7 linked regions of the Zea mays genome follow. Each later gene encodes a partner of the first gene's protein in a complex. Links are inferred from orthologs where the notes say so. Each region holds a gene or a part of one and is shown on either strand. Other genes may lie near its edges.

What was found.
Region 2: NAD(P)H-quinone oxidoreductase subunit N, chloroplastic (region 1) and photosynthetic NDH subunit of lumenal location 1, chloroplastic share a complex: the UniProt entries of both Arabidopsis thaliana proteins name them as parts of the chloroplast NDH complex. The link is inferred for Zea mays from reciprocal best matches to the Arabidopsis thaliana genes NdhN and PnsL1.
Region 3: NAD(P)H-quinone oxidoreductase subunit N, chloroplastic (region 1) and NAD(P)H-quinone oxidoreductase subunit M, chloroplastic share a complex: the UniProt entries of both Arabidopsis thaliana proteins name them as parts of the chloroplast NDH complex. The link is inferred for Zea mays from reciprocal best matches to the Arabidopsis thaliana genes NdhN and NdhM.
Region 4: the proteins of NAD(P)H-quinone oxidoreductase subunit N, chloroplastic (region 1) and ndhK are in contact, whole or in part, in a cryo-EM structure (PDB 7WFG), measured with the Arabidopsis thaliana proteins. The link is inferred for Zea mays from reciprocal best matches to the Arabidopsis thaliana genes NdhN and ndhK. Residues at the interface, in NP_200634.1 of Arabidopsis thaliana: Pro80, His81, Gly83, Gly84, Tyr85, Glu86, Gly87, Arg88, Leu90, Asn91, Arg92, Leu126, Lys128, Tyr142, Ala146, Pro148, Pro149; in NP_051063.1 of Arabidopsis thaliana: Ser3, Ile4, Lys5, Phe6, Pro7, Thr20, Asp24, Trp28, Thr117, Asp118, Thr151, Arg154, Lys155, Ala158, Arg159.
Region 5: NAD(P)H-quinone oxidoreductase subunit N, chloroplastic (region 1) and Photosynthetic NDH subunit of subcomplex B 5, chloroplastic-like share a complex: the UniProt entries of both Arabidopsis thaliana proteins name them as parts of the chloroplast NDH complex. The link is inferred for Zea mays from reciprocal best matches to the Arabidopsis thaliana genes NdhN and PnsB5.
Region 6: NAD(P)H-quinone oxidoreductase subunit N, chloroplastic (region 1) and NAD(P)H-quinone oxidoreductase subunit T, chloroplastic share a complex: the UniProt entries of both Arabidopsis thaliana proteins name them as parts of the chloroplast NDH complex. The link is inferred for Zea mays from reciprocal best matches to the Arabidopsis thaliana genes NdhN and NdhT.
Region 7: NAD(P)H-quinone oxidoreductase subunit N, chloroplastic (region 1) and Photosynthetic NDH subunit of lumenal location 4, chloroplastic share a complex: the UniProt entries of both Arabidopsis thaliana proteins name them as parts of the chloroplast NDH complex. The link is inferred for Zea mays from reciprocal best matches to the Arabidopsis thaliana genes NdhN and PnsL4.

Annotation. Positions count from the first base shown.
Region 1 is NC_050098.1:176,087,909-176,091,037, forward strand, and holds NAD(P)H-quinone oxidoreductase subunit N, chloroplastic, read left to right. Parts: upstream 1-1,198; 5' UTR 1,199-1,265; coding exon 1,266-1,619; intron 1,620-1,989; coding exon 1,990-2,106; intron 2,107-2,218; coding exon 2,219-2,304; intron 2,305-2,409; coding exon 2,410-2,479; 3' UTR 2,480-2,629; downstream 2,630-3,129. UniProt on the Arabidopsis thaliana protein: NDH shuttles electrons from NAD(P)H:plastoquinone, via FMN and iron-sulfur (Fe-S) centers, to quinones in the photosynthetic chain and possibly in a chloroplast respiratory chain.
Region 2 is NC_050096.1:42,029,568-42,033,417, forward strand, and holds photosynthetic NDH subunit of lumenal location 1, chloroplastic, read left to right. Parts: upstream 1-1,327; 5' UTR 1,328-1,511; coding exon 1,512-1,553; intron 1,554-1,632; coding exon 1,633-1,753; intron 1,754-1,849; coding exon 1,850-1,936; intron 1,937-2,059; coding exon 2,060-2,133; intron 2,134-2,221; coding exon 2,222-2,344; intron 2,345-2,537; coding exon 2,538-2,609; intron 2,610-2,746; coding exon 2,747-2,843; intron 2,844-2,943; coding exon 2,944-3,053; 3' UTR 3,054-3,350; downstream 3,351-3,850. Other genes in the region: ABC transporter B family member 20, read right to left, coding at 3,513-3,850. UniProt on the Arabidopsis thaliana protein: NDH shuttles electrons from NAD(P)H:plastoquinone, via FMN and iron-sulfur (Fe-S) centers, to quinones in the photosynthetic chain and possibly in a chloroplast respiratory chain.
Region 3 is NC_050097.1:23,630,826-23,633,699, reverse strand, and holds NAD(P)H-quinone oxidoreductase subunit M, chloroplastic, read left to right. Parts: upstream 1-1,187; 5' UTR 1,188-1,355; coding exon 1,356-1,811; intron 1,812-2,020; coding exon 2,021-2,197; 3' UTR 2,198-2,374; downstream 2,375-2,874. Other genes in the region: uncharacterized protein, read left to right, coding at 1-42, 266-386, 573-644; uncharacterized LOC100502247, read right to left, coding at 2,600-2,677. UniProt on the Arabidopsis thaliana protein: NDH shuttles electrons from NAD(P)H:plastoquinone, via FMN and iron-sulfur (Fe-S) centers, to quinones in the photosynthetic chain and possibly in a chloroplast respiratory chain.
Region 4 is NC_001666.2:50,618-53,273, reverse strand, and holds ndhK (NADH dehydrogenase subunit K), read left to right. Parts: upstream 1-1,472; coding exon 1,473-2,156; downstream 2,157-2,656. Other genes in the region: ndhC (NADH dehydrogenase subunit 3), read left to right, coding at 1,057-1,419; ndhJ (NADH dehydrogenase subunit J), read left to right, coding at 2,260-2,656. UniProt on the Arabidopsis thaliana protein: NDH shuttles electrons from NAD(P)H:plastoquinone, via FMN and iron-sulfur (Fe-S) centers, to quinones in the photosynthetic chain and possibly in a chloroplast respiratory chain.
Region 5 is NC_050098.1:158,250,019-158,253,569, reverse strand, and holds Photosynthetic NDH subunit of subcomplex B 5, chloroplastic-like, read left to right. Parts: upstream 1-1,481; 5' UTR 1,482-1,524; coding exon 1,525-1,794; intron 1,795-2,011; coding exon 2,012-2,066; intron 2,067-2,226; coding exon 2,227-2,295; intron 2,296-2,385; coding exon 2,386-2,444; intron 2,445-2,660; coding exon 2,661-2,897; 3' UTR 2,898-3,051; downstream 3,052-3,551. Other genes in the region: putative transmembrane protein kinase family protein, read right to left, coding at 3,515-3,551. UniProt on the Arabidopsis thaliana protein: NDH shuttles electrons from NAD(P)H:plastoquinone, via FMN and iron-sulfur (Fe-S) centers, to quinones in the photosynthetic chain and possibly in a chloroplast respiratory chain.
Region 6 is NC_050099.1:14,035,709-14,038,941, forward strand, and holds NAD(P)H-quinone oxidoreductase subunit T, chloroplastic, read left to right. Parts: upstream 1-1,474; 5' UTR 1,475-1,585; coding exon 1,586-1,926; intron 1,927-2,082; coding exon 2,083-2,503; 3' UTR 2,504-2,733; downstream 2,734-3,233. Other genes in the region: Pyruvate kinase 1, cytosolic, read right to left, coding at 2,915-3,070, 3,160-3,216. UniProt on the Arabidopsis thaliana protein: NDH shuttles electrons from NAD(P)H:plastoquinone, via FMN and iron-sulfur (Fe-S) centers, to quinones in the photosynthetic chain and possibly in a chloroplast respiratory chain.
Region 7 is NC_050100.1:216,381,105-216,384,727, forward strand, and holds Photosynthetic NDH subunit of lumenal location 4, chloroplastic, read left to right. Parts: upstream 1-1,456; 5' UTR 1,457-1,475; coding exon 1,476-1,865; intron 1,866-2,061; coding exon 2,062-2,154; intron 2,155-2,256; coding exon 2,257-2,317; intron 2,318-2,424; coding exon 2,425-2,493; intron 2,494-2,615; coding exon 2,616-2,683; 3' UTR 2,684-2,728; intron 2,729-2,806; exon of another isoform or gene 2,807-2,848; 3' UTR 2,849-3,123; downstream 3,124-3,623. UniProt on the Arabidopsis thaliana protein: NDH shuttles electrons from NAD(P)H:plastoquinone, via FMN and iron-sulfur (Fe-S) centers, to quinones in the photosynthetic chain and possibly in a chloroplast respiratory chain.

The sequences.
Region 1 (3,129 bases):
CCTGTCATGCGCGCCATCTTTTTCCTCTTATGTTGTCACCACCGCGAACTTCCTCTATAGCCTTGCCTAGTGGCGGATAAGGAACAAACTAAAAGAGGATTGTTTTTCTAGTGACCAGTGTCCGATGCAACAGAAGCTAGTCATTTAGAACATAAACACGGTCTTCAAAATATAGCTTTGACCAATATTTTTGTAAATACAAATAAACTCTTAATATATTTATACTTTTGTAAAAGTGATTTTTAAGATATATATATATGTATATATATATTAGATTTCAAAACTATTATTTATAGTCAAAGTTTTATATGTTTCACTCAAACCTTGTCTAAAACGACATCTTTTTCAGGACCGGAGGGAGTACACAATTGGTGAATGGAAAAAATATCGTTTGAATTTTTTCTCATTAATATGGCTGGAAAAAAATAGATGATGAGATATAGATGATAAAATTTAGAGGTTGCTGCTGCTGAAGGCATGAAAAATATACATGATAGAATCTTTTAAATGGTGATGTGAAAGACTAGAAATATTATCTTAGTGGATAAAATTTTGGAACCCTGCTGGGACAGACTAAGCACGACCATCCCAACAAATGATGCACAACATCCATCTTTCTTTAAAAAAAGCAAAAAGAGCGCGTGACCTACTTTACTAACTGTTTAATTTAAAAGGTTTTTTAAGCTGGTGTCCTCAAATCGTTATATGCCTAAATATTTATTTAAGTTCTTTATATTTTAATTTTTCAAATAACTTCTGAAGTCAACGTGATCCACACCGAAATTTTACTCCCTCCGTTCTAAAACAAATGCATTTACGTGGGTTTCCAGTTGATGACATTCTTTTGGGACAGTTTAGACTTTGGAAACACAAATCACCTTCAGAATTGGCGGGTCTGAATAAACTAAAGTTTCTAAAATAGGCCTTAACAGGATTAATGATCTATGTAACTTTTAATGCATTTTAATATTTTGTTTGGATCTAAAGAAAATTCACGTATCCGTACTGTGTGCGATCTCTGAGTAGAATCTGAATACAGATTGGTAAGTGGTAACACATGTACTCTGCTCTTTCAGTCTTGGGCAGTTCGGCTGACAGACCAACCTACGGCCTGGATTGGAGACTTATCCGCGACCCCTCCTCCCCACTTCAGCTTCAGCGCAAGCCATCTTCCCGCCACAGGCTCAAAAGCAATCAAGCGACTCCTCCCACAGTCCCACTTCCACTCCCACCCACCCACACGCACGGCCGCAGGCAGCAGCACCATGTGGTCGGCAGCAACGGCGGCGGCGGCGCGCGCGGTGTCCGTGTCCCCAGTCCCGGCGCCTTCGCTCCTCAGCGGCCGGCGCGGCGGGTCGCGGGGCGGCCGGGGGTCGGTGTCGGTGCGCAGCACGGTGTGGGACTTCGTGGGCGGCGACCTGGTGCGGCCGGACCTGGGCAAGTGGCTGGACGACGTGGAGAAGCACAAGGCGCTGGCCATCTACCCGCCGCACGAGGGCGGCTACGAGGGCCGCTACCTGAACCGCCTCCGTTACCAGGGCTACTACTTCCTCGACCTCTCCGCGCGGGGGCTCGGCGACCCGGAGACCACGCTCACCAAGGTCCACCCCGTCTGCCCGGTACGTAGCACGCCTTTAGTTTCTTGGGAACGTATCTCGTGCTCACGCGACGTCCGTGCTCATGTGAGCACTTTAAATCGTGAGTGTTCCTTCTTAATCTAACGATCATGCTGCTGGCCAGGAACACTCATCGTTAAGGTGAGAGGACTTAAGTGAATAAAAAGCACTAATCGTTGGATTAAGAAAGAACACTCACGATTTAAAGTGCTCACATGAGCACGGACATCACGTGAGCACGACATACGTTCCCTTCTCTCTTTCTTTGCTTGTTGTTGCTGCTGTGGCTGTGCCGTGTCCTTTCGTCGCGTGCGGGAACCGAGCGGTCGATCGACGAACTGACTCGATTGGAGTGGCGGTGCGGTGACTGCAGCCTAGCCTCGGCAGGCAGCCGGTGGCGCGGTGGTACTTCCCGCCGGAGGTGGACTACAGGCTCAGCCTGCTGCACCCGGACGCCAAAGGCCTCGTCGTCTGGATCATCGAAGCCAAGGTGAGGTGCCTGCTTACATCTACATGCACGCGCCTCCATCGATCGGCACACCACTGACGAGTGCTCTGTTCCTGAACCTCTTCTTCGGGCCTCTCGTCTGGTCTACGTGCAGGTTCTGTCCAAGGCTGAGCTGCAGTTCCTGGCCATGCTCCCGGACATCCGCCCCAAAGTCAGGGTGATCGCAGAATGCGGCAACTGGTACATGCGCTTCCTTCTACCTCCCTCCATGTCTAAATTTCCCACACGGGACCACTTGTGGCTAAGGCCTGATTACGTACGTGTGGCCCTGTTGCACGCGTGCAGGAGAAGCTTTGTTTGGAAGCCACTGAAGCAGATCGCAGGCCTCGAGCCGGACCCGGACGCGGAGGAATGATCAAGCAAGCAGGTCTAGCTAGTTGTCTACCAGACTGGCTACTGCTACTGCTACACTCTCCAATTGCTTCTGGGACATCTCTCCCTGCCATTCCTGCAGCTTTGCACTGAATGAGAGAGGCAATTAATAAAGATATACATACATTTTTTTGGCACGAGTGTCAGAAGAGAAAGAATGCGAACCATGTACAGATTTCCATACATGTGAATAGTTCACGGCCGCGACGCGTTTAGGATTCTCAGAACCCAGGCGCACAGCCGAACACGAGAGCGCAGGCACACGAGATCACTGTCCTCGTCTCCATCGCGTTGTGGATCGGCGACATCATTGCCACCTTGGTCAATGAGCTTGCATTCTTCCTTCACCATTGATGCTCAGGTAAGCTGAATTAAAGAGCGCGCTGAAAAGGGTCCACATTTCGATATTCTTGACGTGTGAGTTGGACACGAAAGAATGGATCGCTTCCGCACGAGTAGAGCGAGGAAGTGCTTTCCCCTCACACAGAAGCAACGAACATAAGATGAATGAATTAACCCAAAAAAAAAACGCATATCAGAAACTAGAACACCACATGTGGATGGGAGGTAAAGAAGTTTCTTCGAGGAGCCTTCTTCAGATTCTTCCCCTATCTTCTAATTTTCTATCCAAAA
Region 2 (3,850 bases), on another chromosome or scaffold:
GGGCCAGACTGGAGCGGCAAAAGATCCTCGCTTTGTCTGCGGAGGCTGACGATGCAATCTGGCATCTGGCCACGCTCGCACGGAGGAGGATGCAAGAAAGGGACGAGGCCAGGAACCAGGCGAGGATGCTGCTCGCGGACCTCCAGGCAAGGAACGCCCGGATGAAGGCGGCGGTTCCCGGAGCATCGTGCTCCAGAGTCGCGCGGCCTGACGCGTTCGCCGCCACCGGCTACGAGCACATCCAGGCCCAGGCCCAGGCCCAGGCCCAGGCACTCGCTCCTGCCGCGTTCGGGCCGCGGGGGCAGCGTGCCCGTGCGGGAACTGGCTACTACTGCGTTGCGTCGTCCAGCGGCTTCGGCCACAGGAGCATCGACTCGTCTCTGGACACCTGCGCCGTTCAGCCGTCGCTGCTTGGCTTCGCTTCCTCGAGCTCGAGCCAGGAGCATTTCGACCCTGACATGTTCTTGGTGGACGTCGCAGAATCGCCGCAGGATGTCGTTCCGGTTCCGGCCACCGCAGACTCAAGCCAGGGGAGAAGCTCCGGCTCCGGCTCCGGCACTTATGGTCATAGTTTGGCGAGCAAAAGGCCTTGCAGTGAAAGGAAGTAATAAATCATCAGCTCAAGCTGCAGCACGTCCTGCCACGGGCCATGGCCATGCTGCCTAAATCCTAGGCCGGTGCCATGTTAGTGCTTGCTCGGTAAAACTTATAAGATTATTGATGTGTTGTGGATTTGAATGGCGCCTAGTGTCTTTTACTGTGTTTGGTTTAAGGTCAACATGGGATGAGGCGCCCCTCGATTTTTTAGCATCACGCCGCCACCAAAAACTACTCTGGTGTTTACCTCGTTCGTACGTGACTCTCATTCAAACACTATTGAAACTATTTAATTAACTATCAATTAACTAAGGAAAAATCAACCAATTAGTTAAGAAAGGAAACTAACAAACAACTATCAATTAGTTAAAAAAGGGAACTAATTGATCAACTATCAATTAGCTAAGAAAAAACTAATAAATCAACTAAGGAAAAAAACAAATAAACCTAGCTGCATTATGCAACAGGCTTACTAGCATTGAATAATTGTGGCCGTTGTTGTATATCGCTTATCATGGTGTCATGAAATTATGTAACCTGGAAATTTTGTTTTTTTGGCATAAAAATCACTGTATTCAGAACAGTTCGTCTTGGGTCATCAACGACCTACCCACCAGAAGGGCTGTTTGCCTGTTGAGAGGGACGCCCATTTTTGTCAGCCAGTGCTCTGTCCAAGACAAAGAAGCAAGAGTGCTGAAATGAGAGGATAATGAGCATGCTGACTTGGCTGCCTTGGCTTCCACCCACACACTCGATAGGGGAAAAGCGAGCCCTTCCACGGTTCCACCACCCACTCGATAGTGGAAAAGTGAGCTCGAGCGTGTCCAGCAGCTATGGATAACTGACGATGGGGGTAACAAGCTTCACAGAACTCTCCCTCGAGCTCAGCGCTACCCTGAACAACTGAAGCCGAAATGGCGAGCCTGCAGAACCTGGTCTGCTCCGTATCCAAACAAGTACGTGCTCAAGCCCCTTCCTCACTGTTTTTTTCTGGAATTCATTTACTTTCCCTGCAGTTCTGAGGAGTAATAACAGCTTGAACCCGTTGCTTGTTTCCAGCTGGCTGTGCCAAATTGCGCGGCGACTACCAAACTGAACAGGGCTCCTCCCTCAGCTGTGGCGGCGAGCTCGATCCAAGGATCTTTGGACGACACCAGTAACCCCCCCTTTTGTTGTTGTTGTTGTTTTTTTTCCGTTCATGCATCTAGTGGTCGACAGAATCCTGGTTCATAACATCTCTCCGCTTGTATAGAGGTCACGAAGAGACGGCTAGCTTTGCTTGGTGCTGGAGCGTTAGCCACTGGCCTACTGAGGACAAGCTCTGCTGCGTTCGCTGAAGGTAACGATCATCCCTATATAGATGGCCTGGCATTGTATCTATCAGGATCGGACTAGGACGGTGTCCTCGAGCAGCGTTTTTTTTGCGTTTCTTACCTGTTTGACACTGATCGGAGCTGTTCAGAGGTGCCGAAGAATTACAAGTCGTACGTGGACGCGAAAGACGGGTACTCGTACCTTTATCCAGCTGAATGGAGGGTAGGTTGGCGCCATGCGATCGATTCTTGAACAGTTAAGAACTGTAGGGTGATTTTCATGGTGCCTTCGTTCCCTTGTCCCTGGATAGGATTTCGACTTCTTGGGTCATGATTCTGCGTTCAAAGACCGCAACCTGGCCCTTCAGTGTGTTCGTGTGGGGTTCATTCCTACCGAGAAAACAGACATCCGCGACCTAGGACCGATGGATGAGGTGGGGGTTTTGTTTCCTTCTTTCGACTATGTATTCTTCTTCTTTTTTATGGAAAAACTATGTGTTCTTCACTTTGATTAGGCACAAAAGATAAAACACATACTCTCTCCTCCGTTTAAATTATATACGTTTTAGCTCTGATAATCACTTTTGCTGATGTGATGAATATGTTTTTTTTTCCACATTACACCAGGCCATCTTCAACCTGGTAAACAACGTCTACGCTGCCCCGAACCAAATACCGTCGATCTACGACATGCAAGAGGTCTGTCATCTGTTCATCGCTTTATGCATGCAATTATCATTTGTTTGGAGTTGCCAAATCTAGTTGGATAACTCTGAGCAAAAAAATAAAAAAAATGGTGCTAGTGAAATAAGCGGCCTATCCTACTATTTTTGCAGCGCACCGTGGACGGCAAGAACTACTGGACGTTTGAGTACGATCTGGAGGCTCCGGGCTACGGCGTTTCTGCGTTTGCGACGGTCGCCATTGGAAACGGTATGATACCTATGAACGGGAAACGTTCATGTGTTTCGCTTCGCGTTGAAATAGAGAGAGATGAAACTCTGTTTGTTTGTTTGTTTTTTGCTCTAACTAGGTCGGTACTACACGCTGATCGTGACCGCGAACGAGCGCCGGTGGAGCAGGCTGCGGAACAGGCTCAAAGTCGTCGCGGACTCCTTCAAGATCTCGGACCTGACGGCGTGATCGCTTGCTTCTGTGACGGCCTCATGAGCATGGTGCGGCAACTTGTTTAGCGAAAGATGGGGGGGGGGGGGGGGGGGGGGGGGGGGGGAATGTGGTTGCATTGCTGTCGGTTCGTGGCTCCCAAAATTACACGCTCCGTGAACATGTCGGTGCAACACTAATATTACAGAGGCGAGAGACACCACAAGCACGAGCCTCTGAAAGAATGTTTCAGCTCATATATTACAACAATTACAATGCCCTCCAAACTTGCTAACTATTTCCAGAATTACTTGGATCTGCAAGCTATTTTTTTTATTTTTTTGTCAAGAAGACCAGGTCGGCTTACTCGGAACAGCAACAGGGCGGCAACTCCCAGCATTTTTCATGTGCCGAAAAGGGCCCCTGACTGAGTGGCCGCACAAGGAAACCTGATCATCCCCTAGGATAATTTACACCTAAACAAACTCAAAAGAATAATTACATTAGCCGATGCTGGCGAAGGCCCTTGCCAAAATGGGGTTGCATCAATCTAACATATAGACCGTTCTGGTCCATCAGAGAGTCATGTGTGCCCTGCTCAACTATCCTACCGCCATTCAAGACGACGATGTTATCAACATGCTTCATCATTGCCGCCCTGTGCGCAATGAGAATCGTTGTCTTGTTACCCATGACCAGAGTGTCTAGAGCTTCTTGCACCACTCTACTCGATTCAGACTCGATCGCAGAGCTGGCCTCGTCCAACAGCAATATAGGTGCGTTCTTCAAAACCACCCTAGCGATGGCAATCCGTTGCTTCTGTCCAGGTGTCAGAT
Region 3 (2,874 bases), on another chromosome or scaffold:
GCTCGTCAAACGCCCGGCGTCCCTCGACTTCGGAGGAGCATGGTGAGCAGCCATTTCGCACTACATATATACCACTGCCTAGCTAGTGCCTGTTTCTTGTCCATCGATTTATTATTATTATTATTATTATTATTATTATTATTATTATTATTATTATTATTATTATTATTATTATTATTATTATTATTATTATTATTATTATTATTATTATTATTATTATTATTATTTTCGCCAAGGTGAGGTCAACTCGTTGCGTGCTTTCCAGGATGCACAGGTACGGCATGGGGATATATCTACTGCAGCGCGGCTCGGATTCGTCGCCCAACGCTCCGGCAGCTGCAAGACCGCCGGCGATCAACCCCAAGGGCAACCACATTTCCTTTCAGGTGACCACCAGAGCGCTCTCGCAGAATTAAGAAACTGGATAGGCAGCCAAATTTAGTCCAATCCAAGCAGAGAGGATCCTTGCTCTCGCGCAGAGTTGACCTGCTTAGTTAGTACGAGTACTTAGTAGTAGCAGTAACCAGTAAGCACCCGCTGATCGGGTGTGCTCGTTTGGCAATGGCGTGCAGTGCACGGACATGGGGCTCATGAAGACGAGGCTGGGTGACATGGAGCTGGAGTTCGTGGCGGCGCGGGTGTGAGACGGCGAGACGGTGGTGGAGCAGCTCTTCTTCCGCGACCCAGACGGCAATGTGGTCGAGGTCTGCGACTGCGAGAAGCTCCCCGTGATACCCCTCGCAGATGCAGGCAGCACCGGCCTTCTTCCAAATACGCTGCTGCTGCCGGTGGAAACGAACTTGCATGGCTAGTTCGTGGTGCTTGCTCATTGGTTGCTTAGCACGATTATTTGATTCGTGTGATTAGATTTGTGAGCTGTAACAATACTGTAATAACAGGCAGTTCTGCACGCTATTGTACATATGTTGCAAGTGTCCGTACGTAGTGTAATGTGTATGTACAGGTTCGGAGATTGCCGGGTTAGGCGTCTTCCAAGCTGAATTTACGTAGTGTTGTGCGTAATGCTTGTGCAATGGCGATGAAAGCTGGTGCTCTTCAGTACTCTGTGCGAGACTGACGACAAACCGCGTACCCCGAAATCGCAAGGCAACCGCCGCACCAGCGTTCAGAGCCCAATGAGTCTGGAAGCCTGCTTGGCCCAATGGTGCGCTGTGCAAAAGTGCAAACCGAAACCGAAGTCAGTGGCAGAAACGGCCCTTATCCACACACACAAAAAAGTACGCGACACAAGCCACGCTCTCCGCTTGTGGCTAAGCTGCTGCACGCGCGGAACGACAAAAATCCAGCACTAGCCAAAGCACAGGCGAAGAAGCAGGCGAGAGGCCACCACAAACATGGCGACCACGGCGTTTCTACCCCCGGCCAAGCTGCCGCTGCAGGGGCGTCGGTTCGCTAGCCCCAAAACGGCGGGACGTATCAGCGTCAGGGTCCCTCCGGCGCGAGCGCAGCAAGAGCAGCAGGTGAAGGAGGAGGAGGCCGAGGTGGCGAGCGTGCCGCCGCCACAGGACGCGGAGAAGCAGGCGAGGAAGGGGGACGCGCAGTCCCTGCCGCGGCAGCCTTTGGCGGAGAGCAAGAACATGAGCCGCGAGTACGGCGGGCAGTGGCTGAGCAGCACCACGCGGCACGTCCGCATCTACGCTGCGTACATCGACCCGGTGACCAACGCGTTCGACCAGACGCAGATGGACAAGCTGACGCTCATGCTCGACCCCCAGGACGAGTTCGCCTGGACCGACGAGGCCTGCCAGATGGTCTTCAACGAGTTCCAGGACCTCGTCGATCACTACGAGGTAACCTCTGTAGTTGCTCCCACTCCAACAGCTCCGATAGTAGATAAAAAAAATTTGAATTGAATCTCTTGTTGTCTGAAATTCGTACGGTCATTTCCCCCCTTTTCATCTACTTTAGAGCCACTCCTGCCAAAAAAATAAAACATACGGTCTTGGCAAAAGAAGTGATCGGTAAGAGGATAGCTGAGCTCGTTTCTGCTTTGAAACAGGGGGCTGAGCTGTCGGAGTACACACTTCGGTTGATCGGGTCAGACCTTGAGCACTACATCCGCAAACTGCTGTACGACGGGGTGATCAAGTACAACATGAGGTCCAGAGTCCTCAATTTCAGCATGGGCAAGCCTCGCATCAAGTTCAACAGCAACCAGATACCAGAAAAGATATAGAATGTACTTATCCAACGCCCTTAAAAGAATGGTTTCTCTCCATTCGATTACCGAGCAAGATGTATACTCTGCAGTCCCAGATACGATCCAGAGCATTCCAGAATTCATATTACGCAGATGCAAAGCCATACACCGATTCTGTTGGCAGAATTTTGTCACCCCTGCACAGTAATAACCACATAACGAGAGTCTGGGCAAAATAAGGGTTTGCTCGAGTTTAGATACCCCTTCTGTTTCTAGGGCACTCGAATTGGGTTACAGTACACAATACCATAGTTTCTGCTAATAGATACGTATCACCGAATACCACATGAGGTCAGAGAGTTGCACAGAGACGACCGCGCTAACTTACCAAACGACTTTCTGAACTGGATGGAGTAATGGCTAGTATGGGTAAACCCTCTACAAACATTCCATGACAACTCGGTACTTTTTAAATTCATCGCTCCATGGTCTGAATTGGTCTTCTAGCTCAATGTTCTACAGAAGCATAAAGATACAGTAAGGGCTAGTTTGGGAACCTCAATTTTCTAAGGGATTTCTATTTTTCCATGGGAAAATGAACTAATTTCCCTTGGAAAAATAGAAATCCCTTAGGAAATTGGGTTCCCAAACTAGCCCTAAATAATTAAAATTAGGGAACACCACCATGCTATGCTGCTGCTGAGTACTTCGTC
Region 4 (2,656 bases), on another chromosome or scaffold:
GAGCCCAATGCAGAAAAATGCATGTTGGGTCTTTGAAACAGTTCGAATCATTTCGATAATAATCTGTTTGATCTGTTTTACCGAGAAGGTCTACGGTTCGAATCCGTATAGCCCTAATATATACGTCTTTTTTCCATTTTAGGATGGATATCTTATGTTTCCTTTAGTATAGTTTTCTTTTCCTTATTTAGTACTTGTTTATAGACTCGATGGTCGATTGCGCCATAGAATAGAGATAAAAGCATTACCATAGGCTCATTCATCGAAACGCAAATCAGAGAGACAGGAAAAGAAAAAAGAATTTTGATCAAATCAATAGAAGGAAGGATCCCTTACCTGATTTGAATTTCATCCTCCTTTAAATAGGATATGCTCTAAGTCTTCCCATACTTTCCTATAATGACTGCAACGATTTTCTCCATTTTGCGAATTCCTATTTTATTTGAAGTATATTACTATCATATACATTATCTAAATCGATCCACTTTAAATAAAATAGAAAAAATCGAAAGAAAAAAAAAAAGAAAGAGTAAATAATAAAACAGGATATTCTGTTTCATAATTCTGAAATAGAGTTCTTTTTTTTAGTATTACTCCTCATTAGGATGTATATATTAATCATCCTATTTTAATATATATTAATCATCCTATTTTAATTAGGTTCTAATCCAATTAGTAGTAAGTATTTTCTTTTTTATTTAATAGTCTCTGACTATCATTAAATAAAGGGTAGAGCAATTCTTTTTTCTAGAGATTCTAGAGAAAGTGAGACAAAGTGAAGCGAAAGAGTTTTCTTTGTATAAGAATTAGGTCTATATCATATCTAAATAGAAGGGAAATCAAAAAGAAGGGAAGTGGGGATTACATTGGATGAATCCTTAAGGAAGACATATCACAAAAGAAATAAAGGCTAAAGTAAGCGCTCCTTGCCTTTGGTTTGAGCAAAACAGATTCTTGTTTCACCGAGGAAAAGAGAGAAGTTCTGGATAAATTGACAATGTCAACTTGAATTGACTAATTCAGTTCCGCCTATTCCACATTAATGGGAGTACATTTATGTTTCTGCTTCACGAATATGATATTTTTTGGACATTTCTAATAATAGCAAGCCTTATTCCTATTTTGGTATTTTGGATTTCAGGACTTTTAGCCCCGGTTAGTGAAGGACCAGAGAAGCTTTCTAGTTATGAATCGGGTATAGAACCCATGGGGGGGGCTTGGTTACAATTCCGAATACGCTATTACATGTTTGCGCTAGTTTTTGTTGTTTTTGATGTGGAAACAGTCTTTCTCTACCCTTGGGCAATGAGTTTCGACGTATTGGGTGTATCCGTTTTTATCGAAGCTTTCATTTTTGTGCTTATCCTAGTTGTTGGTTTAGTTTATGCATGGCGAAAAGGAGCCTTGGAATGGTCTTAACTGAATATTCAGAAAAAAAAAAAAAAGAAGGAAAAGATTCCATTGGGACAATTATGAGTTTGATTGAGTTTCCGTTACTCGACCAAACAAGTTCCAATTCCGTTATTTCAACTACACCAAACGATCTTTCAAATTGGTCAAGACTCTCAAGTTTATGGCCCCTTCTATATGGTACCAGTTGTTGTTTCATTGAATTTGCTTCATTAATAGGCTCACGATTCGACTTTGATCGTTATGGATTGGTACCCAGATCAAGTCCTAGACAAGCGGACCTAATTTTAACAGCTGGTACGGTAACAATGAAAATGGCTCCATCTTTAGTGCGATTATATGAGCAAATGCCTGAACCGAAATACGTCATTGCTATGGGAGCCTGTACTATTACAGGGGGCATGTTCAGTACAGATTCCTATAGTACTGTTCGAGGAGTTGATAAGTTAATTCCTGTGGACGTCTACCTGCCGGGTTGCCCGCCTAAACCAGAGGCTGTTATAGATGCCCTAACAAAACTTCGTAAGAAGATAGCGCGAGAAATAATTGAGGATCGAACTCTATGTCAAAGTCAAAAGAAAAATAGATCTTTTACTACCCGTCACAAACTTTATGTTCGGCGCAGTACTCACACTGGAACTTACGAACAAGAATTGCTCTATCAATCACCATCTACTTTAGATATATCTTCTGAAACTTTTTTCAAATCCAAAAGTTCAGTATCTTCCTACAAATTAGTGAATTAGGAGGGGTTCTTTTGTGCAGAAAAAGAAAGAAAAGAGCAGTACAATCTTTCAAACTTGCATTTGAAATGTGAAATATTTATACAAAGGGGGAGAGATCAAGACAATGCAGCAGGGTTGGTTATCTAATTGGCTAGTTAAACATGACGTGGTTCATAGGTCTTTGGGCTTCGATCATCGAGGAGTAGAGACTTTACAAATAAAAGCGGGGGATTGGGATTCCATTGCTGTCATTTTATATGTATATGGTTACAATTATTTACGTTCCCAATGTGCTTATGACGTAGCACCCGGTGGATCTTTAGCTAGCGTGTATCATCTTACGAGAATACAGTATGGTATAGATAACCCAGAAGAGGTATGCATAAAAGTCTTTGCCCAAAAGGATAATCCTAGAATCCCGTCCGTTTTCTGGGTTTGGAGAAGTGCCGATTTTCAAGAACGCGAATCTTATGATATGGTGGGAATTTCTTATGATAATCATCCACGTCTTAAACGTATCT
Region 5 (3,551 bases), about 18 Mb from region 1:
AATACCCACACGAGTACGTGTATGAGTGTGAAATTGTATCCGTGCACAAGTAGGGGTATTAGAGTGGCGAGTTTTTAGTTTGACGGAACCGAGTCTGGGGTAGCAAAACCCGGCAGGTCTTTATCTGTTACCATTTCTAATCGAGAGGCTTGGTAGTGTTAGGCTGTCTCCAACAAGGGGCGCTAAAGCGTTCGGTATGCTATATTTAGCGTTTCTCGGTGTCCGCTATCGCTCCAGCAAGAACCGGCAAATGGTCCGCTAAAATATAGCGGCAGCTCGACGACCGGTAAATGTGGAGTGTTGTTGTTCATCCGCTATCCATCCGCACAGAGTTGTTGTCTGGTTCTTCTCGTCTTCGCCAACAGCATGCCACAGCACGACAGCTCTGCTACTCCACCCGTTGAGTACCACGACAGCTCTGCTACGTTCGGTATGAGAGATTATGCACGAAATCATCTCTGTATTTTCAGTGCAGCAACGTGATTTCATTTTATTTGTGTCTTGTTGCTTTATTTTCACCTTCCAGACTGAAGTTGAGTCACATTGACTCTCCGCCAACTGGTAAGGACAGAGGCAGGGCTTCGAGGCGTTCACGAGTAGAGTACTGGTGATGTCAGAGCTTTACTCATCGTTCGATTACAGTAAAAAAAAATGCATGGGCAGTTTATTGATGCAGTGATGCTAGCCTTTTTTTCTCTTACTATGAAGATGGGGGACTATGTTGTCTTGATACCAAAAGAACTGGGAGCAATTGCATTTTTTTTGTATAATACTAATTTAAGAAACTGGTTTGTTGATTACTAGGCTTAAGGATCTGATCTGTAACAATGTCATGTGCGGGTCTTCTTGTGACATCGCAATCTCGAGGGCACCCCAAGGCCGCCAAATGTTCTAGTGTCCATTGATGCTTGGTAAGAATTCAGTTAGAGCTTTACATGCAAATTAGTACTGTATATTTATTTGTAAACATAGCACCATTGTACTACTAATTAACTGTGTATATCTAAACCCTAAACCCTAGGTTGATGAAGACGTTCTAGCAACCAACCATAGGTCGCTATAAAAAAATCGTTGTGTAGTGTATGAGAGAATTTAGAAAGAACCACTCCATATACATGGAAAAATTTAAAGGACAGGGTTACAGATAATCCTACAAAGAGTGAGTTCTCACTTGTTTTGTTGGTGTCCGTTGACCAAAGCACATGCGACAGTTTCTTACAAATATAGCGCACAGAATCACGATTTTTTTTGGCGGGGGGAGGGGTTACTGTGGGACGTCCGTAGGTGTTCAGTTCCACAGAATCGTACCGAGTTTTTATGAGCTGATTATTTCCAGAAACGAAAAAAGGGACAGGAAAAGACAGCGGAAAAATCCTGGACGGTAGGTGTCCAACTCCAGCGCACCATTATCCGCTTGCTTTTTTGTCTCTTGGCCGCAACGTGAAGTGCAGCAGCAGCCAGCAGCGGGGGCTGGAGCACTCACCAGTCACCACTCAGCAGCGATCGCAGCACCGCGGCGAGATAATGAGCAGCCTGTCCTCCGGCATCTCTGCCTCGCCATCTGCAGCGCCCAGCACCGCTCGGCGCCGCCATGACGCAGCGCCGCAGCAGCTGAGGGTGAAGGCGGCGGCGCGGCCACAGCTGCTGCACGCCGGCCGCCGGCGTTCGAGTGTCGGGAGGAGGCCGGGCGGCGGCGCGGTGGTGGTGAGGGCCGGGCCTGGGCCGCTGTCGGAGATCGAGCCGGACCTGGAGGAGGACGCCATCGACGTGTACCGCACCAACGGCATCAGCCCGGTCCGTCGTCGTCGTCCCTCGTTTCCTTCCTTTTCTTCTCTTCTCTTCTCGGTTGTCGTTCCGCGCTTAGTTAGTTAGACTAGGAACACGCAGGAAAGCAGTGAACCTTGACGTAGGTTGTGCTATGAACGAGAGCTCTGAAGAACGGAGTACGTTTCGTTCGTTCGTTCGTGGATGACACTGGAGAGGATCTGTCTTGTCTTGTCTTGTCTTGCAGGAGGACTTCGAGTACGGGAAGTATGACGGACACCACACCTATTTCGAAGGCCAAGGTATTACTATCCTCCCAGAAAAAAATAAGAACTCCATTGTTCATGATATGATATCCTTCATTGCAAAAAGAAAAAGAAATAATAGTCCACTGATTGTTTTGTGCTGTGGTGAAACAAAAACCTGCAAACAACCGCAACACCCCCCGCTTTTCTTCCCAAGACAAGAAGGGCTTCTGGGAGGATGTCTCCGAGTGGTACCAAGAAGCTGAGCCTCCTCAGGGCTTTCAAGGTACTACCACTACTGTGTAGCTCTTTCAGATCTTTATGCTTCTGCCTTGCTCATTTGTTGCACTGCATCAATGGCGGCGATCTCTTGCAGCACTCATCTCCTGGGCATTTCCTCCTGCGATCATCCTCGGCATGGCTTTCAATGTGCCGGTAAGGATCCAGCACTTCCTCCTCCCAGTACCTAGTCCCCTGTTTGGAACACGAAGTTTCCTGGTCGGAAGTGAATTGTGCTTTCTGTCGGGAAAGTGAATTGTTTCCTGTGAAATTCCTGCGCTCCAAGCATTTGTGCCCCAAAAAAAAAAAAAAAAAAAACTCGTCACCTGCATCTACTGATCGGATCGGAGACGCGTCTGCTTGTGTCGCCAGGGGGAGTACCTGTACATCGGGGCGGCCGTCTTCATCGTGGTGTTCTGCGTCATCGAGATGGGCAAGCCCGACAAGCCGCACAACTTCGAGCCGGAGATCTACATGATGGAGAGGTCGGCCCGCGACAAGCTCATCGCCGACTACAACTCCATGGACATCTGGGACTTCAACGAGAAGTACGGCGAGCTCTGGGACTTCACCGTCAACACCAGGGACGACATCGTCAAGTCGACCTAGATGCATTGCGTACACCGCTCGCTGCCCTTCAGATTGTTGCCTCACAGCAAAAAAAACCCTGTGAAAGGAAGCTGTAGCTGCTAGGAAAATCTCTTGAATAAAAAGGAAAGCCATCCTTCCTGTAAGACTGGAGAGCCTGAAAATCTGTTCTATCCTCGTGCCATATAATACACGACATGTTCTGCAGACTGTTGCTTCAACTTTCTGCATGAATTGCCTTTGTTTTCATGTTTTCTCCAATACTTTGAAGGGAAGAGAAAAAAAAACACATGCAAGACTGATGCGCTGAACAATCAAGAGCCGCTGGTTTGCCACCACCCACCCATTCTTATTATTATTCAACAAAAGGAAAATGTCATTAATTCCCCTAAAAACATGTGCAGAAAAGGGAGAATTAGGAAGGAACCATCAGGGTAACAAAACTGGGGAGAAAAAAAGGGTAAGCCTCGCAGCTGTTTCCTCTCTTTTTTTTTTACACTTGGGATGCAGCTGGCTCGCTATGAAGACGGGCTCTTCTTTTTTTTCCCGAATTCCGAAAGAGAACAAGGCTGGTCTACTGCCCTGAGGAGGAGAGAACTAGCTTTTCTTCTAGACTACACATCCCACTGATGTTTGTTTCACCTGGATGTTCTGAAGAGCTGACTGCCTAGAGTC
Region 6 (3,233 bases), on another chromosome or scaffold:
AGGATCATATATTGTCCCCACATACCAACACAAGTCTTTTGTGCGCACTTTGTCCTCACTCATGCGCACCCGAGAAAACTTCCCGGTCGGTCACCCATCCCAAATTGCTCCAAGCCAAGCACGCTTAACTTGGAGGTTCTTTCAAGATAGGCTTCCGAAAAAGAATATGCACCTTGTTGGTATGATTACACTATTAATTCTATTAAGCCTTGGGCCAGGACATCCCATCCCAGGGGCCAGGATATCACAATCCACCCCCCTTAGAAGACCGACGTCCTCGTCGGTCAACCCCAATCCAGGAACCTCCCCTCTTGGCCACGTCTGTATGTCTAGTGTCGTCATATGCCATGCCATGTGACCACTCCGGGCCCAGATGCGCCATGCGCCATATACCCGAACCCCCTAGCCCACACACGCCCGTGAAACCGCGAGGGTCGGCTCTGATACCACTTGTAACACCCCGTCCAATCCCTGGACCGGCGGTACTTACTCCTGGCAGCTCTCTAGGATCATATATTGTCCCCACATACCAACACAAGTCTTTTGTGCGCACTTTGTCCTCACTCATGCGCACCCGAGAAAACTTCCCGGTCGGTCACCCATCCCAAATTGCTCCAAGCCAAGCACGCTTAACTTGGAGGTTCTTTCAAGATATGCTTCCGAAAAAGAATATGCACCTTGTTGGTATGATTACACTATTAATTCTATTAAGCCTTGGGCCAGGACATCCCATCCCAGGGGCCAGGATATCACAATTTGTTCGGTTATTTTCAATCTATAGATTGGAAGAGATTGATACGTATTGAGAGAGATTTTGACTTACTAAGGATTGAAACCCTTTAATCACCTTCAATTTATATGGATTGGCATAGAAGGGAAGACCCCTCTCCCTCCCTTTCAACTACACTAGTTACCAATGGCACAAATCTCGTAGCATCTGCAGTGGCTACCAATGGCACAAATCATGTCTTGTATCGGGCGACAAAACCGCTAGTCACAAGAGTGCTGAGGCCAAAGCTGAGAGACTGGAGACGGCAGTAACGAAGATCCAAGCATTGTTGCCGTTTCAAGAAGACCTCTCCCTGATGATACCGTGGAACGCAAACCTGATGCGCGTTATCATGGGAGGCGACACCCAAAATCCTGAATTACAAAAACATTATTAATTTAATCACAGTTAAAAATTACAACAAGGGGATGTAGCTCAAATGGTAGAGCGCTCGCTTTGCATGCGAGAGGTACGGGGTTCGATCCCCCGCATCTCCAAACTGTTTTTTACCCCCCTTGTTTTATTTTTTTTACCTCTTCTCCCTCATTGTCACTTGGTCAGTACTCAGTACTACTCAGGATAACTGTGCGGACGAATTCGATTGCGTACCGTCTAAACTGACAGCGCAAGTGTTCGTGCGGCGGGAAAATTTCTGCAGTTTCATTTCTCGTTCGGAATATGGTTACCGTTCCTTTTTCTTTTTGTACATGTGGCCATTGGCTAAGTGAACAGCGACACCTCATCGCCTCGCCCTCCTACCACGACAACTGGAACGTGCGAGCCTCATCACCTCCCGACTCCCCTCCACGCCTTGGAATGCTGCCTGCGCAGACGCTAACACACACGTTTCCCATGGCAGCGTCCACGGCCTCGCGCATCTTCACGCCCTTCCTCCACCGGCACCAGCGGCGCACGAAGGCAGTCGTGGTCGCAGCCGCGAGCCCGCCCGACGCCGAACCGACTCCTGCGACGGCGGACGGTGCAGGGCCGGGGAAGAAGAAGACGGTGGACACCAGGATACACTGGTCCAACCCCGACGAAGGGTGGGTAGGAGGCAAGGCCAAGAAGGAAGGCGACGGCCGCGGCAGCAGCAAGAACGAGCCGTTGGGAGGGAGGTTCGCGGACCTCATCAACAACGCGGCCGAGTCTCACTACCAGTTGAGTTCATCTCCAATCCATGCTCATATGTCCTTTTGGATTGCCGTCCAGCTGTACATAAATTTGTAGAGCTCTGTTCGAGACACTGTCATCATCATGTCAATACTTTGTTACTAACGGCGACACATGACTGAACTGCAAAATCTATCACCCAGGTTCCTTGGCATAGCGCCAGAGGCGGACATCGAGGAGATCAAGACGGCGTACCGGCGGCTGTCCAAGGAGTACCACCCGGACACGACGACGCTGCCGCTCAAGGTGGCGTCGCAGAAGTTCATCCGCCTGCGAGAGGTGTACAACGTGCTGAGCAAGGAGGAGACACGGCGGTTCTACGACTGGACACTGGCGCAGGAGGCCGAGAGCCGCCGCCTGCAGCAGCTCAGGTCCAGGCTCGAGGACCCATACGAGCAGGACATCATCAACTACAAACCCGTGCCAGACATGGTTGACCGCCTCGGCGGCAAGAACATGAAGCTTAGCGATCAGGCCATGACTGCGCTCACCATCGATATCGTTATCATCATCATCTCCATCTGCTGCATCATCTATGCTGTTTTCTTCAAGGAGCAGTACTGACAGCAGCATACCAGCAACAGCAGCAAGGTTGCAGGAGTGTACCATAGACAGAACATTATAGGTAAATTAACTGATAATGCCCTAAGATTGTCTTTTGGGATGTTATCATGCACTGCATCATGTAATGTCCAATAGAATAAGGTAGGAACGACGATTATTCATGGTTTGTTGCCAACAATCCTATATTTGCATAATCAAATCATAATTCCAGTATAAATCTGTGACATCATAATTTATTGCGTCAAATCAAAAGACAATCTGAAAAGAGGGCAAAATTCCCTAACAAGATATCTTGTGCTCTTGCTGTACTCTACTTGGAACTTGGTTAAATAAGTGAGATGGAACTGGAGGTAATCTCCCATGCGATACATGAAACTACAGCATGGGTTGTAGGTATCAATCATCTAATGCCTAACCTTCACACTCAATGATCTTGACAACAGAAGAATCACCAATCTTTTCAAAGATTATCAACCTGTCGAAAGGCTTCACTATGCCAACCGACCGACCATAGCTCATCGCAAGTTTTATCCCATACTCTTCCTTTGTTAGCCCACCAGTTTCGGCCTATTACAGAGTTTTAAGCATTCATGGTTAGCCATATGTTTTTTTACATGTAACTCTAATGTTAGGGAAAAATACAATTGCTTACATACCTCATCAGTACTCCCCATCAAAGGGTACACGCCTCTCACTGCGAAACATTGTCTTGCCTGAAAGTGGTTTAATA
Region 7 (3,623 bases), on another chromosome or scaffold:
AAAAATACGGGTAGGCTACTAGTTGGTTTGCCAGCCGGGACAGGGACTCCATGCCAGGTTTTACAACATGTACAAACAGTCGAAATGACATTAAATTTTTATAAGGTCTAATCGTGAATTTTTTTCCGAGGAAGAGCCAAAATGCAAAAAAAATCGGCCAAACAGGCGACTAGGCAGCCGACTACTATACATGCAGTTGAAAAAAAACATGGGAGAGAAGGTACTCCGAAATTTTCACTTCTACGGTGCCGAGATTAAAAGATGATTGCACCTGACAGCTGAAAGCTGCACCCCCAAAAAAATTGGTGTAGATTTTTCCCATCAGCTGTTATCTTAACCAGGTCCTATATTGTACTTTTGGTTGGCATTAGGCAAAGTGGTTCACTTTTTGTATTGCGTTGTGTCGTTATATCATCAAAACGTGAGGAAAAAAAAAAGATGCTGGTGGCCGCAGCTAGCGACGTAAATTATAGGATGGTGACGAGTGTGTGTATCCACTGTCAAATCCTAAATATCTTTCTTGAGCCTTATAATTTATCTAAAAAAAGTTTTTTAATACCCAAACTTGTTTGTTCTTCTAAATAGTTACTAGACTTTTGGCAATCCATATTATCTTCCTCTTTGGAACAATAATAGATGCACTAAGATCGTGTCTAGCAGTTACTCACATGGTTATCCAAAACACTGTTATGCACAGTAGATTGCACTATCTGTGGAGTGAAATTTGAATACGGAGATGAAGATGGATAAGCTATTAGAGATATTCTAATAAATTTTGTCTTTATACCATAGTATACTTTGCAAGTAAATAATAAGAATCAAATTTAATAGAAGGTGTACCTTTATTCTTGTTCTTGCAGTACTGCTATAAGTACATAACTTGCTTGCATTAGTACATAACTTGCTTGCATTTTGACCGGAACCCATCATTATCCTTCACAAAAGTAGTTTTGCGACTTATAAAGGTCACCTCGATATTCTTATGGTGTAAACTAATCCCGTTTTATTGAGAGAAAACCTTTGACCATCAAGCATTTTAGGCCTAGTTTAGATACTCTTGGAAGAGGGGGTTGAAGTGCATTGAAATGTATCCAATCAAAACAGACAACACTTGCCATGTCATCGATCACGACCTGCCACGTCAAACGGGGTCGCATATCAGCGTATTTGTCCGCGGCAGGGAGATTTACACGGTCATACGGGTTGGTTTTAGAAACAAAATTACTCTGATGTTAATTTTTAGAAATTGATTTAGAAAATGATTAAAATAAGAAAACTACGTGGGCTGTAGACTGTCCCGAAACTTGCGGCTCGGCCCGGTAAAACCACGGGCCTGCTGCTGCAGTGGCCGGCTGAAACATCCAGAGCCCATGCTGCCTCCGCGCGACGAATTTCGGGGCGTCATTATAAAGACCCGAGCCTGCGCGCCTTGCAGCCACAGTCTGGGGATAATAATCCACACTCCACAAGCAGCCATGGCGCCACCCATCACGTCCCTGTCGTCTCTGATGGCGTCCAGCCCAATCCCGACGCCGCCGCCGCCGCTCCCGAAGACCAGCGGCAGAGCGCTCTCCGTCGCGCCCTGCGGCTCCGCGTCGTCCTCGTCGCCGTCCACTTCCTCGACTCCTCATCCGGTGGCGGCGTCGGCGTCGGCGGGCAGGAGGGGGCTGCTGGCGCTGGGCGCCGGGTTCCTGGCCTCGGCCGCGCTGCTGTCCCCGGCGGGCGACGCCGGCGCCACGCGCATCGAGTACTACGCGACGGTCGGGGACAAGATGTGCGACCTGAGCCTCGTCAAGTCCGGCCTCGCGTACTGCGACGTCGAGGTCGGCACCGGCGTCCAGCCCCCGCGCGGCGAGCTCATCAATGTCAGTACCGAGACCACCGTCTCTTCTTTCCTGCATGCCTTGCGCCTTCCTCTGACTTAACCTACTCTGTAATAGTACAGTGGTCCATTTCCCTTCTGCACGAGTAACTCAGCAACATATGCCGCCATCCTGTTCTGCGTTCTGTGTGCTGCTTGCTTCGGATCCTAATTATATTCGTCCTCTCGATGGTCATCAGGTGCACTACACCGCGAGATTTCCCGACGGTACGCTGTTCGACAGCAGCTACAAGCGCGGGAGGCCACTGACGATGCGCATAGGCGCAGGCAAGGTGTGCATGTATAAGCATCCATTGTCGCTCACTGAAAACGACGTTCAGTTTTCATGCCAGTAAAAAATGATGGTCTGTTTCTTTCGCGTTCTCCGCGTGCAGATCCTCCGAGGGCTTGAACAGGGGATCAGTGGCGGCGGCGGTGTGCCGCCCATGCTTGTTGGTACGGACAGGAACTTGAGCAGTTTTTAGCTGTGCATTAAATATAGAGGCTTTGCTAATTTGGCTTGCTGTTCCATGACTGATGACTCCGTTGCAAACCTGCCTCAGGTGGAAAGCGCAAGCTGATGATACCTGCGTCACTGGCGTACGGGCCTGAACCGGCAGGCTGCTTCTCAGGTCGATTTTCAGAACTGCGCTAAATGACTTCGTACACCATAGATAAGCAAACTGCTCTCGCTCTAGAATTGTCAAGGAGACTGCTTCTCTAGTTTTTTCTTTTGTTTTTCTTTTTTTGACAGGAGACTGCAACATCCCCGGAAACTCCACACTTCTATATGACCTTTTCCTCGTCGGGATCTACAAGTGAGCCCTCGATGACAGGGAATGTTCAGAACCTAAGAGCAGAGACAAGGTCTGTCTGATATGTGTGCCGTGCACAGCGTTATTCTGAACTCGCCTGGTTTTCTGTGACTCACGTCCTTCTTTCCAGAGTAACCGATCGTTTTCGTGTGTCACACATGGAGGGTTTCAGGAGGAATTCTTGGCGGTGAAAGCACCTGCAGAGGCAGAGCCACTTGCAGAAGCTTCTGTACTCCAGAGAGCTACCTGGATTGAATAAAATGATGATATATATAAACCATCCTTGTTACGTAATAACGCCATTGTGGAACTTTGTAAAGACCAATCATATTGTTGACTATATAGCAGTTTGATACAGCCAAAGCGAGCAAGTTATCGGAGGTGTATGTCACATGCGCCACCAGCTTTGCTTGCACAGCCGATACGGAATCGTGAATTTGTTTGTGTCAGTCAGACTGTCAGCGTGACTGGCGAATGGCGTCAAACCCTTCAGCATTCGATCAATCATGCCGACTAAACACTCACGATTCGGATGTGCAGAGAGGTCTCGCGCTCGTGCCTGACACATGTGTGCCCGTAGTAGCTTGGAGCAAAAATTCTCATCGACCGGTTCAGACGGTGCCCGCCTCTGCTGTCTGCCTGAATTGGGGAGGCTGCTGAAGCAACAAAGGCGAAGCTAAACCACTGGCACCATTTCCATGGGTTGTGAAGACGTAGATTTGCAGAAGCGAAAGCGTAAGATAGGACCAAGCCGCATTAGCCGTTGGAGCGCCACATCGGGATCGGGAAACTATTTTGCTTGTGAGAGAGTATCACTGTCACATCACTGGGATGGTTGGGCTTGGGTTATAGGTACTAAAAAAAGTTCCAGTGCAATTTGACCTCACCTCTTTGGCTCTATGTCATTGGTGGTTCCTGGGAGCGCCGAGAGCTGTTTCCTCGGGCCT